Linked DNA regions of Oryctolagus cuniculus. The main gene of each other region encodes a partner of the protein of the gene in region 3 in a complex. Links are inferred from orthologs where the notes say so. Each region holds a gene or a part of one and is shown on either strand. Other genes may lie near its edges.

What was found. Proteins that work in one complex are often made in the same cells at the same time.
Region 1: the proteins of GNAO1 (region 3) and RGS16 are in contact, whole or in part, in a crystal structure (PDB 3C7K), measured with the Mus musculus proteins. The link is inferred for Oryctolagus cuniculus from reciprocal best matches to the Homo sapiens genes GNAO1 and RGS16. Residues at the interface, in NP_034438.1 of Mus musculus: Glu64, Asp65, Gln68, Ser75, Arg86, Thr117, Val180, Lys181, Thr182, Thr183, Gly184, Ile185, Val186, Gln205, Arg206, Ser207, Glu208, Lys210, Lys211, His214, His236, Glu237, Asp238, Glu239; in NP_035397.2 of Mus musculus: Glu85, Phe86, Ser87, Glu89, Asn90, Glu124, Ala125, Pro126, Glu128, Val129, Asn130, Asp132, His133, Glu134, Leu161, Lys164, Asp165, Ser166, Arg169, Lys172.
Region 2: the proteins of GNAO1 (region 3) and P2RY2 are in contact, whole or in part, in a cryo-EM structure (PDB 9K20), measured with the Homo sapiens proteins. The link is inferred for Oryctolagus cuniculus from reciprocal best matches to the Homo sapiens genes GNAO1 and P2RY2. Residues at the interface, in NP_066268.1 of Homo sapiens: Ala31, Lys32, Asp33, Val34, Leu195, Gln305, Glu309, Glu318, Ile319, Tyr320, Cys321, His322, Met323, Val334, Phe336, Thr340, Asp341, Ile343, Ile344, Asn347, Leu348, Gly350, Cys351, Gly352, Leu353, Tyr354; in NP_002555.4 of Homo sapiens: Asn66, Ser68, His130, Arg131, Gly134, Val135, Pro138, Leu139, Leu142, Arg143, Met221, Arg224, Leu225, Ala229, Tyr230, Gly231, Thr232, Ser233, Pro237, Ala239, Lys240, Lys242, Ser243, Arg245, Thr246, Leu308.

The regions. Positions count from the first base shown.
Region 1 is NC_091444.1:912,866-917,194, reverse strand, and holds RGS16 (regulator of G-protein signaling 16), read left to right. Parts: upstream 1-1,489; 5' UTR 1,490-1,619; coding exon 1,620-1,663; intron 1,664-1,920; coding exon 1,921-2,016; intron 2,017-2,379; coding exon 2,380-2,444; intron 2,445-2,596; coding exon 2,597-2,763; intron 2,764-3,768; coding exon 3,769-3,957; 3' UTR 3,958-4,092; downstream 4,093-4,329. UniProt on the Homo sapiens protein: Regulates G protein-coupled receptor signaling cascades. Inhibits signal transduction by increasing the GTPase activity of G protein alpha subunits, thereby driving them into their inactive GDP-bound form.
Region 2 is NC_091432.1:64,598,851-64,603,091, reverse strand, and holds the start of P2RY2 (P2Y purinoceptor 2), read right to left. Parts: upstream 2,841-4,241; 5' UTR 2,435-2,840; intron 1-2,434. UniProt on the Homo sapiens protein: Receptor for ATP and UTP coupled to G-proteins that activate a phosphatidylinositol-calcium second messenger system. The affinity range is UTP = ATP > ATP-gamma-S >> 2-methylthio-ATP = ADP.
Region 3 is NC_091449.1:40,103,793-40,107,935, forward strand, and holds the start of GNAO1 (guanine nucleotide-binding protein G(o) subunit alpha), read left to right. Parts: upstream 1-1,298; 5' UTR 1,299-1,389; coding exon 1,390-1,863; intron 1,864-4,143. UniProt on the Homo sapiens protein: Guanine nucleotide-binding proteins (G proteins) function as transducers downstream of G protein-coupled receptors (GPCRs) in numerous signaling cascades.

The DNA of each region.
Region 1 (4,329 bases), on a different chromosome or scaffold from region 3:
GGGGCTGAGGGTCTGGCTCCCCTCCAGGGGCGGGCCAGGGGCTCCCTGAGCCAATGGGGAGAGATCCTGCAGCGCGGCCAGCCCAGACGTTAGCCGAGGGCCTTAGGGGAGGAAGGGCTCTCTGCAGAGCCACAGCTGGAGCTGCGTGCGCACTGCCCTGGGTCATCCGTGCCAGGCTGGACACAGCAGTTTTCACGTCCTCCCCTGTCCTGGTAGACAAAGCCCCATGGGAACGCTCGGGTGGGGTTGGAGGGCAGAGGAGGCACAGGTGGTGTGGCTGGGCACTGTGGGAGTCCAGGCCTCAGCCCGCAGCGCTGTCCCGTGATCCCTGCTGCGGGAATGGCAGGAGGAGGCGAGATCGGGTTGGTCCCAGGTGGGCCTGCTGGGTTCACAGCCCTGCCGCAGGCTTCCAGGTCACTGCTGGGGCAGACACGGATTTGGGGTGCACTCGAATTTCAGGAAGCCTCTGCCTGCAGAGGAGGCGCAGCACGCGGAGGTGGCCTTGGGCATGGGGTCCTTCCCCTCCGCTCTGCAGCTGGGGACCTGGGGCTTGTGGCCCCTCAGCTTCTGCGCGTCCAGGGCGCTGCAGGCAGCAGCCGCCCAGCACCACAAGGGGGAGAGAAACCCGTGCTGCTTCCGCGGCTTGTGGACAGGACCGGGCCAGGCTGAGCCAGGAGCCTGGGGCTCCAGCCTGGTCTCCCACGGGAGCAGCAGGGGCCCGACTACTGGGGCCATGGGCATCAGCAGGGGTCAAACCGGAAGCAGAGCGGCCGCGACCTGAACCAGCGCTGGACGCCTTGATCTGCTGTGCCAACCTGCCAGCGGCTGCTGTCCGCAGTCCTCCTGCGGCTGACTCAACCTGGGCTATCCATGCTCCGGCGCTGGCACCAGGGGCAGGCTGGGCATGGAGAGCGCCACCACGCCTGCACTGCACACTCAGGGCGGGCCCTGGGGCCTGCGGCACCAGAGCTGCAGGCTGTGTGGGCAGGGCGGTGCTGAGACCCTCGCTGCCACACGTGCATCCACACCAGCCCAACAGGAGCCTGGGCCGGCAGGAGGGACGCCCCCAAGGCCCCTGAGCCCCCTGCCCCTTGGTCCTCTGCCCGCTGCCAGGGGCAGTGACCCTGTGCTCACCACAGCCCTGGGATCAGGGTGCTGCGTCTGCATCTTGGGGACCCAGCGGGCCAGGAGTGGGGAGGGGGGAGGCCTCCCAGCTGCTCTGGCCGCCACATCACGCCCACCTGCCCTGACCCAGATTAGCGCGTGGGCCCTGGCACCCGCTCCCTAGGGATCCAACCCTGAGCCCGGGAGGAGCTGCCGTCTGCGAGCTTCGGCTTCCCGGTCAGCACACGCCCCACACCCGCACTTCCCTGCGTAGGTGCCAAGCGCCCAGCACATGCAGACCCCACTAGCTGTGCCTTCCCCAGGCCGCCGTGGGAAAGAGGTGCCGCGCCCGGCCCGGCTCTCTGATTGGCTGGCGGCTCTTGACCAGCTCCGCGATTGGCCGGTGGTGTCAGCCCCGCCTTCGCCGAGGGCACAAAAGCCGCAGCGCTCAGGGCCAGAAGTAGCCGGGTGTACCTGTTGGCCCTGCAAAGCTCGCACCCTCCCTGGTGACAGCCATGTGCCGCACCCTGAGCGCGTTCCCCGCCTCCTGCCTGGAGAGGTGAGGGGGCCTGTGGGGCCACGGGAGGTGGGGGCGGGCCAGCTCTCCGGCCTGTGGGCTTTGGACTGAGGTAGGGCGGAGGCCGCCGGCCGTGCACACAAAGGGAGCCTTCTCCGAGGCCCGAGAACCCGGATCCCTGGCAGTGCGGAGCAGGAGGCGGCAGGGGGCACTGCTGCAGACTGGAGGGCCGGCGCTGCGAGCCCCCGTGTTGGCCGAGCGCATGGGGAGCCCCTGCGAGCTCTGGGTTTATCTTGCAGAGCCAAAGAGTTCAAGGCGCGCCTGGGCGACTTCCTTCAGGGACCGGAGCTGAGCCCCCCTGCGGGCAGCGACCCCAGGAAGCCCAGCAGAGAGAGGTAGGGGCTGCAGGACCGGCTGCGGGGGTGGGGGTGGGAGGCTGCAGGGCCCCAAGCCCCTGGCGGTGACTGCAGCCAGGGCACGTGGGCCTGGCAGTGGCTCAGCCTCCAGGGCGCCTGTGCACCTGGCCGGGGAGCCCTCCCCTCCTGGGTGTCGGCTGCGCCAGGCGCTGGGCTCTGGGCATGTGGGAGTCAGGGAGCGGCGGCCTGGACACAGGACGGAGGCTGGAACTGCCCGTGGGACGGACCCCTGCGTGTGGGACTGCCGCCTGCCGCCGAGCGCCTTGTCCTGAGTGCTGGGGTTTGTGTGGGCTTGGCCGTGCCCTTGTTTTCCTGAAAATGTGACACGGTGGCTGTTTGCAGCGGGAAGCCCTCGGAAGACACGCTGGGCTGGAGGGAGTCGTTCGACCTGCTGCTGGGCAGTAGAAGTGAGTGGGGCCACGGCCCCGGGCGCCCGGCGCTGACCCCCGGGGAACACAAAGGCAGGGCCGGGGGGTGGGGGGTGACGTCCTAAGAATGGAGCCTCTGCCTGCAGCTGCTGTCTTTCCCGCTGACCCTCCCCCTCCTCCCCTAACCCCAGAGGGAGTGGCCGCCTTCCGCGCCTTCCTCAAGACGGAGTTCAGCGAGGAGAACCTGGAGTTCTGGCTGGCCTGCGAGGACTTCAAGAAGACGCGGTCGGCGGCCAAGCTGGCCTCCAGGGCCCGCAGGATCTTCGAGGAGTTCATTTGCACAGAGGCCCCGCGAGAGGTCAGCGCCCCGCAGGGCCCCTGCTCCCTCCCCACTGAGAGCCAGGCTCAGAGGCGAAGGCCAGGCTCTGAGCCAGCCCTGGGTGCTGTGCCCACGGCCGGCCTCTGTGCACCCCTAGGACACCTGCTTGGGGGCTCCACCCACCGCCCGGGGAGTTGGCCAGCTGTTGTCCCACGCCTTCCCTGGCCCCAGGTCAGCCGTCCCTCCGTGGGTTTGACAAAGTCCGTGGCGCCACCTGGTGGACAGACATGGTGACCCTTGGCTCTGCATCTGCGTTTCGTGTCTGAGCACCTCTGGTCCGGGGCTCCAGTTACACCCAGGACACCGCAGTGGTCACAGGGCCACAGCGAGAGGCCCTCCCTGCACAGTGATGCCCGGAGCCGTTGAACAGATGCCCACGGGACTGACCTGGCTCCTCCGGGGGGGAGTGTCCAGCGGCCTGTCCTGGAGGAGGCCGGCCTCTCCCCTCGTGAGGGATCAGGAGCGGCTGTCAGACACGGCAACTGCGAGGGGCAGGCACGGAGGCCAGAGTGCCGCGGGCCGAGAGCAGGGGAGGAGGGTGGGCAGGTGGGTGGGGGCGGTGGGCAGCGGACAGGGGACAGGTGGGCGGTGGGCAGGGGGCAGGTGGCAGTGGGCTGGTAGACAGGTGGTTGGTGGACAGGTGGGCAAGTGACAGATGGACAGGTGACAGGTGGGCGGGTGGCAGTGGGCAGGTGACAGGTGGCACCGTGGCTGTCCCTCTGGGTCACGGGGAGGGCAGCAGCGGTGCCCTCAGCCTGGTTGGGTCCTGGCAGGCTGGGGGGGAGCAGGGCAGCACCGGGGGCTTCTCCAGGGCTGCGCAGGCAGGGGACAGAGCGGGCTTCTCCCTCACGACGTCCTGTGTGCACCTGTGAATTGAGAGCAGGGACGCCCCTGGAGCAGGGCCGGGCCCTGGGCTGAGAAGCGGCTGGCAAGGACCCAGGAGCCCGTCCTGTCCCCCCGCTCACCGTGCCTGCCCTGACCCAGGTGAACCTCGACCATGAGACGCGGGAGCTGACCAAGAGGAACCTGGAGGGCGCCACGGCCGCCTGTTTCGATGTGGCGCAGGGCAAGGCGCGGACACTGATGGAGAAAGACTCCTACCCGCGCTTCCTGCAGTCGCCCGCCTACCGGGACCTGGCCACCGGAGCCCCACCCCGGCCTTCACACACCTGAGCCCGGGCAGCCCCCTCCCCGGGCTGCCCTCTCCCCCGCGCGGGTTCTGCAAAGCAGTGTGCAGCCATGGCAAAGGTCGGAGAGGTCACGGCTACTGGAGCCCCCTCCTCCGATACACGGACCCCACCCCGTGCACAGAGCCCCGGGCATGAAGGAGGCTGTGGGCGGGGCTCTGGGGGAGCGGCTGGGAAACACAGGGTGCCCTGGGCTGCCCAGTCCTCGCCCAGTGCAGGGAAGGGGCCCTGCAGGCGGCACGCCCTCACCTGCCCTCACCGGCCTGTGGCCACCCAGGGCCTCTGCTTGGACCGCGTGTCCAGCCCCACAGGCTCCTCCAGGCCAGCGAGCAGTGTGGCCCTGACCCAGGCTGAGGAC
Region 2 (4,241 bases), on a different chromosome or scaffold from region 3:
CACGTTTCCGCCTCTGGGTGTCACACACTCGCCCTGTGCATTGCTCTTTAAAGCTCTTCACAGCTTACAACGCCCTTTCCTGGCCACGGTCCTAAGAATCCTCGCAGCAGCTCTGTGTTCAAAGAGGCAGGATCATATTCCCAATGTACAGATGGCAAAGCTGATGTTACAGAGGCACAATGGCTACAGCCACGAAACCAAAGCTCTAATGAGGTCACTCTCTCTCAACCAGTCCTCAGGGGACCCAGGGGCCAGCCTGGGAGCCCCGTGCATCCAGCGCAGGAGGGCAACAGGGAAGGACAGGCCACAGCTTCTCTCCACAGCCCAGCTCGGCCGACCCTGTGAGCAGCGCCCGGGGCAGCTCAATGCAGGCCAGAGACAAGAGTGACAAGGGCTGGCACTGCAGCACAGCAGATACAGCAGCGCTACGTGACCCTGGCAGCCCATTCGGAGGGCTGCTCTGCTTCTGATCCAGCTCCCTGCGAATGCGCACCTGGGAAAGCAACAGAAAATGGTCCAAGTGCTCGGGCACCTGCCACCCACGCTGGAGATCCCATTTGGGAAGTAAACCAGCAAATGGAAGATCTCACGCTCTGTCACTCTGCATTTCAAATAAAAACTTTTTAATTTAAAAATCTTCAAGATAAAGCAAGAGAGAGACAAGCCCTGCACGCCAGCCCCCCCCCCCCCCTCAGGACCTCACTGGTGCTGATGTCCTTTCAGAGCTGGCAGGGCAGGGGCACCCAGCAAGTTGGGGGCAGAGCTAGAAGGGGATCAGTTGCAAGGTTGCTTGGCTCCCGTGGGGGTGGGAGAGTCCTAAGGGTCCCCAGATTCCACAGAAGGAGCATCAGAGGCCTCGGGGGGTGGGGGAGCCTGGGCCTGGGGCCAGGGCCTGCGTGGCTGGGGTGGCCCGGCCCCACCTGCCGCAGCACTTCTCAGGTCCCCCCCCCCCCACGCACAGAGGCTTCTTGAGATGCTCTCTGACCACGATTCCCCCCTGCTCATCCGTCCACGGCTCCCGACTGCCTCTCAGAGAATCCAGGTTTTCAGCCTGCACCCCCACTCCCAGCGGCCCAGACCACAGTGCTCCGGCAGCCTGTGCCCCCTAGCAGATAAGTTTGCTCCCTGTTCCCCGTCTTTGTAACGGCACGGAGCTCTGCTGCAGGCAGCTCTTCAGCGGCGGGAGGCAGGGTAGAGGGAGCGCCCCTGCTCTCAGCTCTGCGCAGCGTGCTGGCAGCACAGAGGCGGGTGAGGGCCAGTCTCTGCCCTCCCGGAGGCCCTGTACCTGGCTCGAGGGACACAGATGATAGACATGGACTGTGATAGTCCTGGGTAAGAAGGACCAGAGCTCACAGCACCAGAAGAGGCTCCAACCTGATGGGGGTGATCAAGGAAGGCTTCCTGGAAGGGGGGGCATCTGAACTGGGGCCCTGGCTGAGCAGTTCTTCAGGTGAGGAGGATGAGAGCTGCAGGGCCTATCAGGCAGTGGGCATGGAAGATAATGTCCTGAGCCAGAGAGTGGTAACAGCCTCGTGTGCACCAGAGCAGAGGTCACCTGCTATTATTGAAGGGTGCAGTCGCCAGGTCGTGGCCAGAAGGGTTGGCAGGCTGAGGGGTTCCGAGTGGTCCTGGGGCGGGGGCACAGGGTGACGCCCGTTTCTGGAGGCTCCTTCCAGGGAGTGACACCTGTGTCCCCACCCCCAAGCTGCAGGCCGGCCCAGATAGGCACTGGGGCTGAACATGAGCCCTCAGCTTCTGTGTCATTATTAACATCCGTGTTATCATTCCCTCCTTATAAAGCAGAGTCCCATGGCGGCCAGGTGAGGCTGGGACACAGGTCTCTGAGCCTCCAGGGCTCTGGGGTAGGCAGACCCTCCTTCCTCCTCCCCCTCCCCCACAGATAACTGGCACCTCCTCGGCCTCCCCCTACCCTCAAAAGCTCACCCTCATTCCAACTTGGGTCCCAGACCCTCCGGGCGGGGGCTCAGGGAAGCCGGGGACCCTATGTTTAGAGAAACAACAGTCCTGGCCCCCACAGGTCCCTCCCCAGCAGGGCCTGGCCCTTGGGAGCGCTTTTGGAGAGTCCCAGATCTGCCGCTGGTAGCCCTAGTCCGGGGGCGGGCTTCTCTCCTAACTGACCCTTCCCACAGCCCCTGCTGCGCCCCGCCCCTGCCCCCCAGTCTTAGAGACCCCCAGGACGCGAAGGCCACCCAGAGTGGACCCCCCGCCCCGGGGGCGGACCAGCGCGCAGCGCAGCGCAGCTCCCACTGCTCTGGCCCCACTCCACACCGGCGCCCAGCCGGAGTGCGCACACACACTCCAGTTCCAAAAGTTCAGCGGCGGCCCCGGGGGCGCACGCACGCAGCGGCTCACATTCGCACGTGCCAGTGCGAGGGCCCGCGCTCTCGCTCCCGGGGTAGCTGTCCCCACTCACCGAGGTCGGCGCTCCCGGGGACACCAAGTTCAGCCTCCGTCCTCCGGTGCGCTCACACCACCCACGTCTGCCGGCTCCCCCTCTGCGCGAGTCGGCACCCGCGCCGGGTTCACCGGCCGCGTCCCCAAGCTGCGCCAGCCAACCTCTCCCGGTGTCCCGGCCCCGGCGGGCGGCCCGCCCCTCAGAGCCGCGCTCGGCCGCCCGGGGTGCGGTCGCTGCAGCTCGGGGTGGCTGGCACCCGCGTCCTGCCACCACCGCCGCGGGACCCACCGCCGCGGGACCCACGCGCCCGGGAGCCCCGCGGCCCCCGACCCGCCTCGCTCCCCACCCGCGGCCGGGCGGGGAACAGGGCGAACTCTGGACGGGCCCTGGCGCCGCCCCACAACCGCCCCGGCAGACACCGGGCCACCCGCCCCGGGACGCCGCCCAGCGCCACCGCCGCGGGGTCAGCGCGTCCGCAAGGGGCGCTGCGCCGGCAGGGGCCGGCGGCGAGAGAGCCAGCGCGTGAGGAGAGGGTTTCTCTGGCGCCGAAGCCCTGCAAGGTTTTGCCCAGCGCCTGAGCGGCCCCTGCCGCTGCCCGCTGCGGGGCCTCCGCTCCTCGCCGCTGCCCACGTCGGGCCCGCCTCAGGCCCCGTCTGACGGCGACGCGCCTCCTTTGCTTGAGGCTGCGGCTGGGGTCTTTCGCCACTGCCCTGGGCAGGAAAGCCGAGCGCCCGGCTCCGGAGTGGACGGAGGGAGCCTCCCGGTGTTCCCCGACCCTTTCTTTATCTCCCTTAGAAGTTCCCTGAACATTCCTATTTAATGAAGAAAGAGGGGCGGCGTCGGGGATGCTTCCCCCTCTCCCCAAATGCTTGCAACAGTTTGGGCTGCTTCTCTGGTCCCACATTCTGAGTAGCTTCTCAGCCGGCAGGGCGCCCCGCCCCACGTAGTGTCCGCCCCCCGCCCCCAGCCCCCCACTTCTGATCTGTGTGGGAGTAAGGCGTGAGGCTGCTGAGCCAGCTACAGACCCTTGCGAGAGCCTGGCTCCCTTCTAGTCCTCTCAGGGCCACCTTTGCTGTGAAATGGAGCCACACACATCCTCCTGCCCCCAGTGTCCTGTCACAGCACACTCCGAGTGCTCCGGGGCTGGACAAGGGCAGAGGAGCCCTCTTCCTGGAGCCAAGGAGCTGGGTCCTGCTGGGCTCCACAGCATTCAACGGGGACCCAGCTGCCAGCCCTGGGAGGGGCCCTGGGAGGGGCCCTGGGAGGGTGCTGGCTGCAGCCCTGCAAGGAGCAAGCACAGGGTGAATGCTGCTCCACCCCTGCAGCCTCCCTGGGCCCTTGTCCAGCCGCCTGCGTCTGTTGTCCGAGCTGGCCCGTGCAATTGCCAGGGCCTAGGTGTTGCCAAAGCCCCAGCTTGGGGTCTCAGTATGGGGAAGTTCCCTTGGGCCCTGGAGCCCCAGCCAAGCTTCTTTTTCCACCTCCCTCTTCCAAGTCTCTACCTTCACTACAGTCAGCTCAGGAGAAAACTCTGTCGATAGGAAGATGAGGCCCTGGCTTGGCCTTGGCCTTCAGCAGACACACCAGGCTGGCAGCTGTCCAGGGCTCTGCCCCTGCGTCCGTCCAGCTCCCTGACTTCATAGTTGAAGACGTTGCACCCTGAGATAGGCAGCCTAAGCTCCCACACCCGGCGGTCACTGAGGCTTGAGGAGCATAGGAAAGGGCCTTGTCCTCGAACCCCACCACTTTGGGTTTAGATTCCAGGCTCGGTGAAGCCACTGCTGGAGATGCCCACATCCCTTGTCGGAAGTGCCTGGTTCAAGTCCCG
Region 3 (4,143 bases):
CGCACTCCTGTCTTTAGTCATAGCTCAGATGCCTGGACAGCAGGTGTGCTCTGCCTCAGGGGGAGTGCACAGCGGTGCACAGGGGCTGTAGCAGGGAGGATGCTGGGAAACACCCCCTGCTATTGGCCCAGGAGGCGCTCGGGATGGGAAGGCCGAGCTCAGCAGGAGCCCTGGCCCCGAGGCATGCAGATAGGGGGGGGGGGACGAAGGCCTCCTCTGGTTCTGTCCATTGCTTGTTAGGCTGGGCACTAAAGCCCCCCTTCCCTTCCAAGCCTCCCTCCCCCTTGCTCAAGGGGCTGGGCTGAGCGCCAGGGAGGCCTCAGTGCTGGCCTCGGGTGACCAGGCCTTGTCTGAGACACAAGCCCAGGGCTGTGGCTCGGGATGCCGGGGAGAAGGTGGACTTTGAGTCCAGGCCCTCCTGTTGACTAGCTGTGTGACCCTGAGCGAGTCACCCACGCACACAGGGTGCCCACCCCAGTAGGGCGGCTGCGATGTTGAAGTGAGATGCCAGCTTTGTCCAGACCGACAAGATAAGAAGAGGCAGTGGACAGATGGGGGCGGCGGAGTCAGAAAGTGGGGCGTGCCTGGCCTTACAGTGCAGGAGATCTGTTTGCCCTGGCCATGCACAAAGCACTGCAAGGCCCAAGGTGCCACGTGAGGTCGGGACACAGTCCCTGCCCTGAGGACAGGTGCAAGCAGCAGCAGCTGGGACAGGAATGGGTGCACCCTGTGGAGCAGCTTGGCCTGGGGCCAGGGGAGGGCTTCGCTGAGAAGGGGACGCTGAGAGGGAGGTGGGCTGGGGCTGCCCCGGCTCGTTTGGGGAGCGGAAGAAGGACCGGAGCTCTGAGAGGGTTTTAGGACACAGAAAGAGGCAGGGACTTCGTAAGGCCTCAGTGAGGAGTTTGCGAGTTAGGAATGATGGGAACCTATCGGAAGAATTTAAGCAGGAGTATTACTGTACCCATGAGGGTTAGGTTTGACAGTGAACCAGAGACCCTGAAAATAGCGGCTTTGAGAAGATAGAATTTTTTTTTTTGACAGGCAGAGTGGACAGTGAGAGAGAGAGACAGAGAGAAAGGTCTTCCTTTGCCGTTGGTTCACCCTCCAATGGCCGCCATGGCCAGCGCGCTGCGGCCGGCACACCGCGCTGATCCGAAGGCAGGAGCCAGGTGCTTCTCCTGGTCTCCCATGGGGTACAGGGCCCAACCACTTGGGCCATCCTCCACTGCACTCCCTGGCCACAGCAGAGAGCTGAAGATAGAAATTTAAGTGGACAAAAGAAAAACCGTTAAAATAATGCCGGTCTGACTCCAGATAGTGCCGCACCTCCTCCAGCCAGGCTGGTTGGAGATCCTTGTCCCACTCTCCCTAGGATCGGACCTTGTCTTCATGATGCAAGTCGGCTGGAGAGCTCCAGCCATCACACCCAAGTTCTGGGCGTTAGGAGGAGGAAGTAAGAGAAATAGGGTGCCCCTTCCCTTTAAAACCCGTCGCTGCCTTTCAGCGTACATCTCATTGCACAGAACCAGTCCCAAGGACGCCCCGCTGCAAAACGGGAAATGTAGTCTGTGGCCATCAGTGTGTTTCCTTCTTGGGCTTCTTGTCCGGAAGGAGAAGGGGAGAGTTGATGTTAGGAGGAAACCGACAGCCTCTGGCCTGGCGGGAAACAGAAGAGAGGCAGGACGGAGGCACCACACCCCGGACCTGGGAGGCTTCAAGGCGGATCGGTCCGGCAGGGCTCCAGGCCTATGGGTTCCAGAAGCTGGGCCCGTAGCGGTGCCGCCAGATGAGGAGCAAAACAGGAAGCCGAAGGGTGCTGCCGCACAGGACCACGCCCCGGCCCCTGCACAGGGCAATGAGGAGGTGAGGCAGGGAGGAGGGCTCTGGCCCACGGGCTGGGCGGCAGAGTCCAGGAATCATCAAATGCAGCTCCCCCCGCCCCCCCCCCCCCACCGTGGAGGGCATCCATTCCAGTCGCCCCTCAAGGAGCGAGCCCAGGAGCAGAAAGCACAGAGTTGAAGAGAGAACCACACTGCCCCCGTAGCACCATGGCTCTGGGGTGCCCAGCGGGGGGTGTTTCTCCCCTGGCACTTGGATGCTGCCGCCTTCTAACTGGGCTGCCCGAGACCCTGACAGCGGGGCCCCAGGAGGAAGCTTGGAAGACTTGGCCGAGTCTCTGGCCTGGGACAGCACCAGACTGCCCGAGGTCAGCCAGGCACCGGGGGGCAGGGTGGGGGCAGTGCCCTGACTCACAGGCCTCGCTCTGTTCCTAGCCCCAGGTGCAGGCCCCACCCCTGCTCTCCAGCCCACGCCTCCCTGAGTCACCACTGCCTCCCTGAGGCACCCAGAGCCCAGGCCCCACGGCCACCTTTCAGGTCACCACCGCCAGGGCAGGCACTCAGCAGCCCAGTGCTGACCCTGGGGAGCCAGGCTGTCTCGTTGGGCAGCCCCGCATTGTCAGCTGGGGGTGACTTGGGAACCCAAGGGCTGGGCATTCAGGACGCTGTCCCCAGGGAACCGGATTTGAGTGAGCAGGGTTGGCGTGTCTGGCCAGCCTCCAGGCCAGGGGCAACTTCCTTCCCTGGGCAGGCAGGGGCACCACTGCCACAACCCTTCCACTGACCCTGTGCCGTGGACAGACCCTCCACCTGAGTGGCTGTGTGGCCAGCAGGCCTAGAGGGCTTTGCCCCACCCCTTCGATACGGAAACCTGCTGACCACACGCCTGCTGACTTCCCTCCCTTTGTGTCTCTCCCGCCCTCAAAAAAGGCCTGTGGGTTTTCAGTACCTCCCACTCGTGTCCTGGGCCGTGTAGTCTGCCTCTCCTCGGCCTTCATCGGCGGGCTCGCAGTGGACCAATCGTCCAGTGATAACCACTGCACCCAGCCCGAGGACAACACCTCCACCCCAGAGGGCCTGCCGCCCCACTCCCAGCTCCTCCATCAGGTGTCATTGCCATCAGAGGTGTGGGCCCTGACTGCTCTCAGCACGCATAGCTCTGCCCCCAGCGGCGGCCGTGGAGGCAGAAGGCTCTGAGTCTCGAGTGCCAGCTCTGCCAGTCGCACCGTGGCCTTAGCCGAGTGCCTTCCTCTCTGGAGCTCCGAGGCTCCCCACCTATCAAATGGGGATTACGTACTTAGAGTGCTTGGCACTGCTGCGGCAATGCTAACAGGCCTCCCCAAACTGAGTCACTGATTCAGCTGAGGATCAAAGACCCAGGGTGGGTTCAGCTCTGTGCCATGCACCCCAGCTCCTCTTTCTGGGGTGAATGGGGAAGGCTGGGCAGGTTCACAATGATGATATAGGCCCCGAGTACACGGAGACCCCAGGGCTGCCTTAGGGACAAGCTGCTGCCCCCACGCCGTTCCGTGGGCCACGGCAAGGCCTGTGACTATCCTCAGAGTCAAGGAGATGGGAACACCCTCTGCCTCTAGGGAGTGCACCTGCAGAGATTCAGAGAGGGCTGAAGAAACATGCCCATTGCTGCAGCTGCCAGCTCCCTAGTGAGGAAGCGGAATGTGGGGCTGGCGCTGTGGCACAGCCAGGAAGGCTACCGCCTGTGAGGCCGGCGTCCCATGTGGGCTGCTCCACTTCCCACCCAGCTCCCTGCTAATGGCCTGGGAAAAGCAGTGGAAGATGGCCCAAGAGCTTGGGCTCCTTGCCACCCACGTGGGAGACCCGGAAGAAGGTCCTGGCTGTTGTGGCCATCTGGGGAGTGAACCAGTAGATGGACGATATCTCTCTCTGTCTCTCCCTCCCTCCCTCCCCCTCTCCCTTTAACTCTTTCAAATTTAAAAAAGGAAGCAGAATGTTTGTGCCCAGAAGCCCTTTTTGAACCGTGAAGTGCCGTGTGTGTGTGCAAGTGCCAGAGATGGCAGCTGTGTGACTTCCCCCAGAGCCTTGTGAGTCTCCAGCAGGTTTACTTACAGCCGCTGAAAACATGAGGGGAAGGGAGAAGAAGCCCGTGGATTATGCAGAGCCTTTCCTGCAGGCCCAGTGCTGTCCTTGCCTGCACAGTGTACCTAAAGCAGTTCTGCTACAGCCCCTCCCAGAGGGTGGGCCACAGGTCACAGAGGAGTCAGTAGGAATTCATCCAGTCGTTTTATTATGTACACACATACACACACACACACATACACACTCA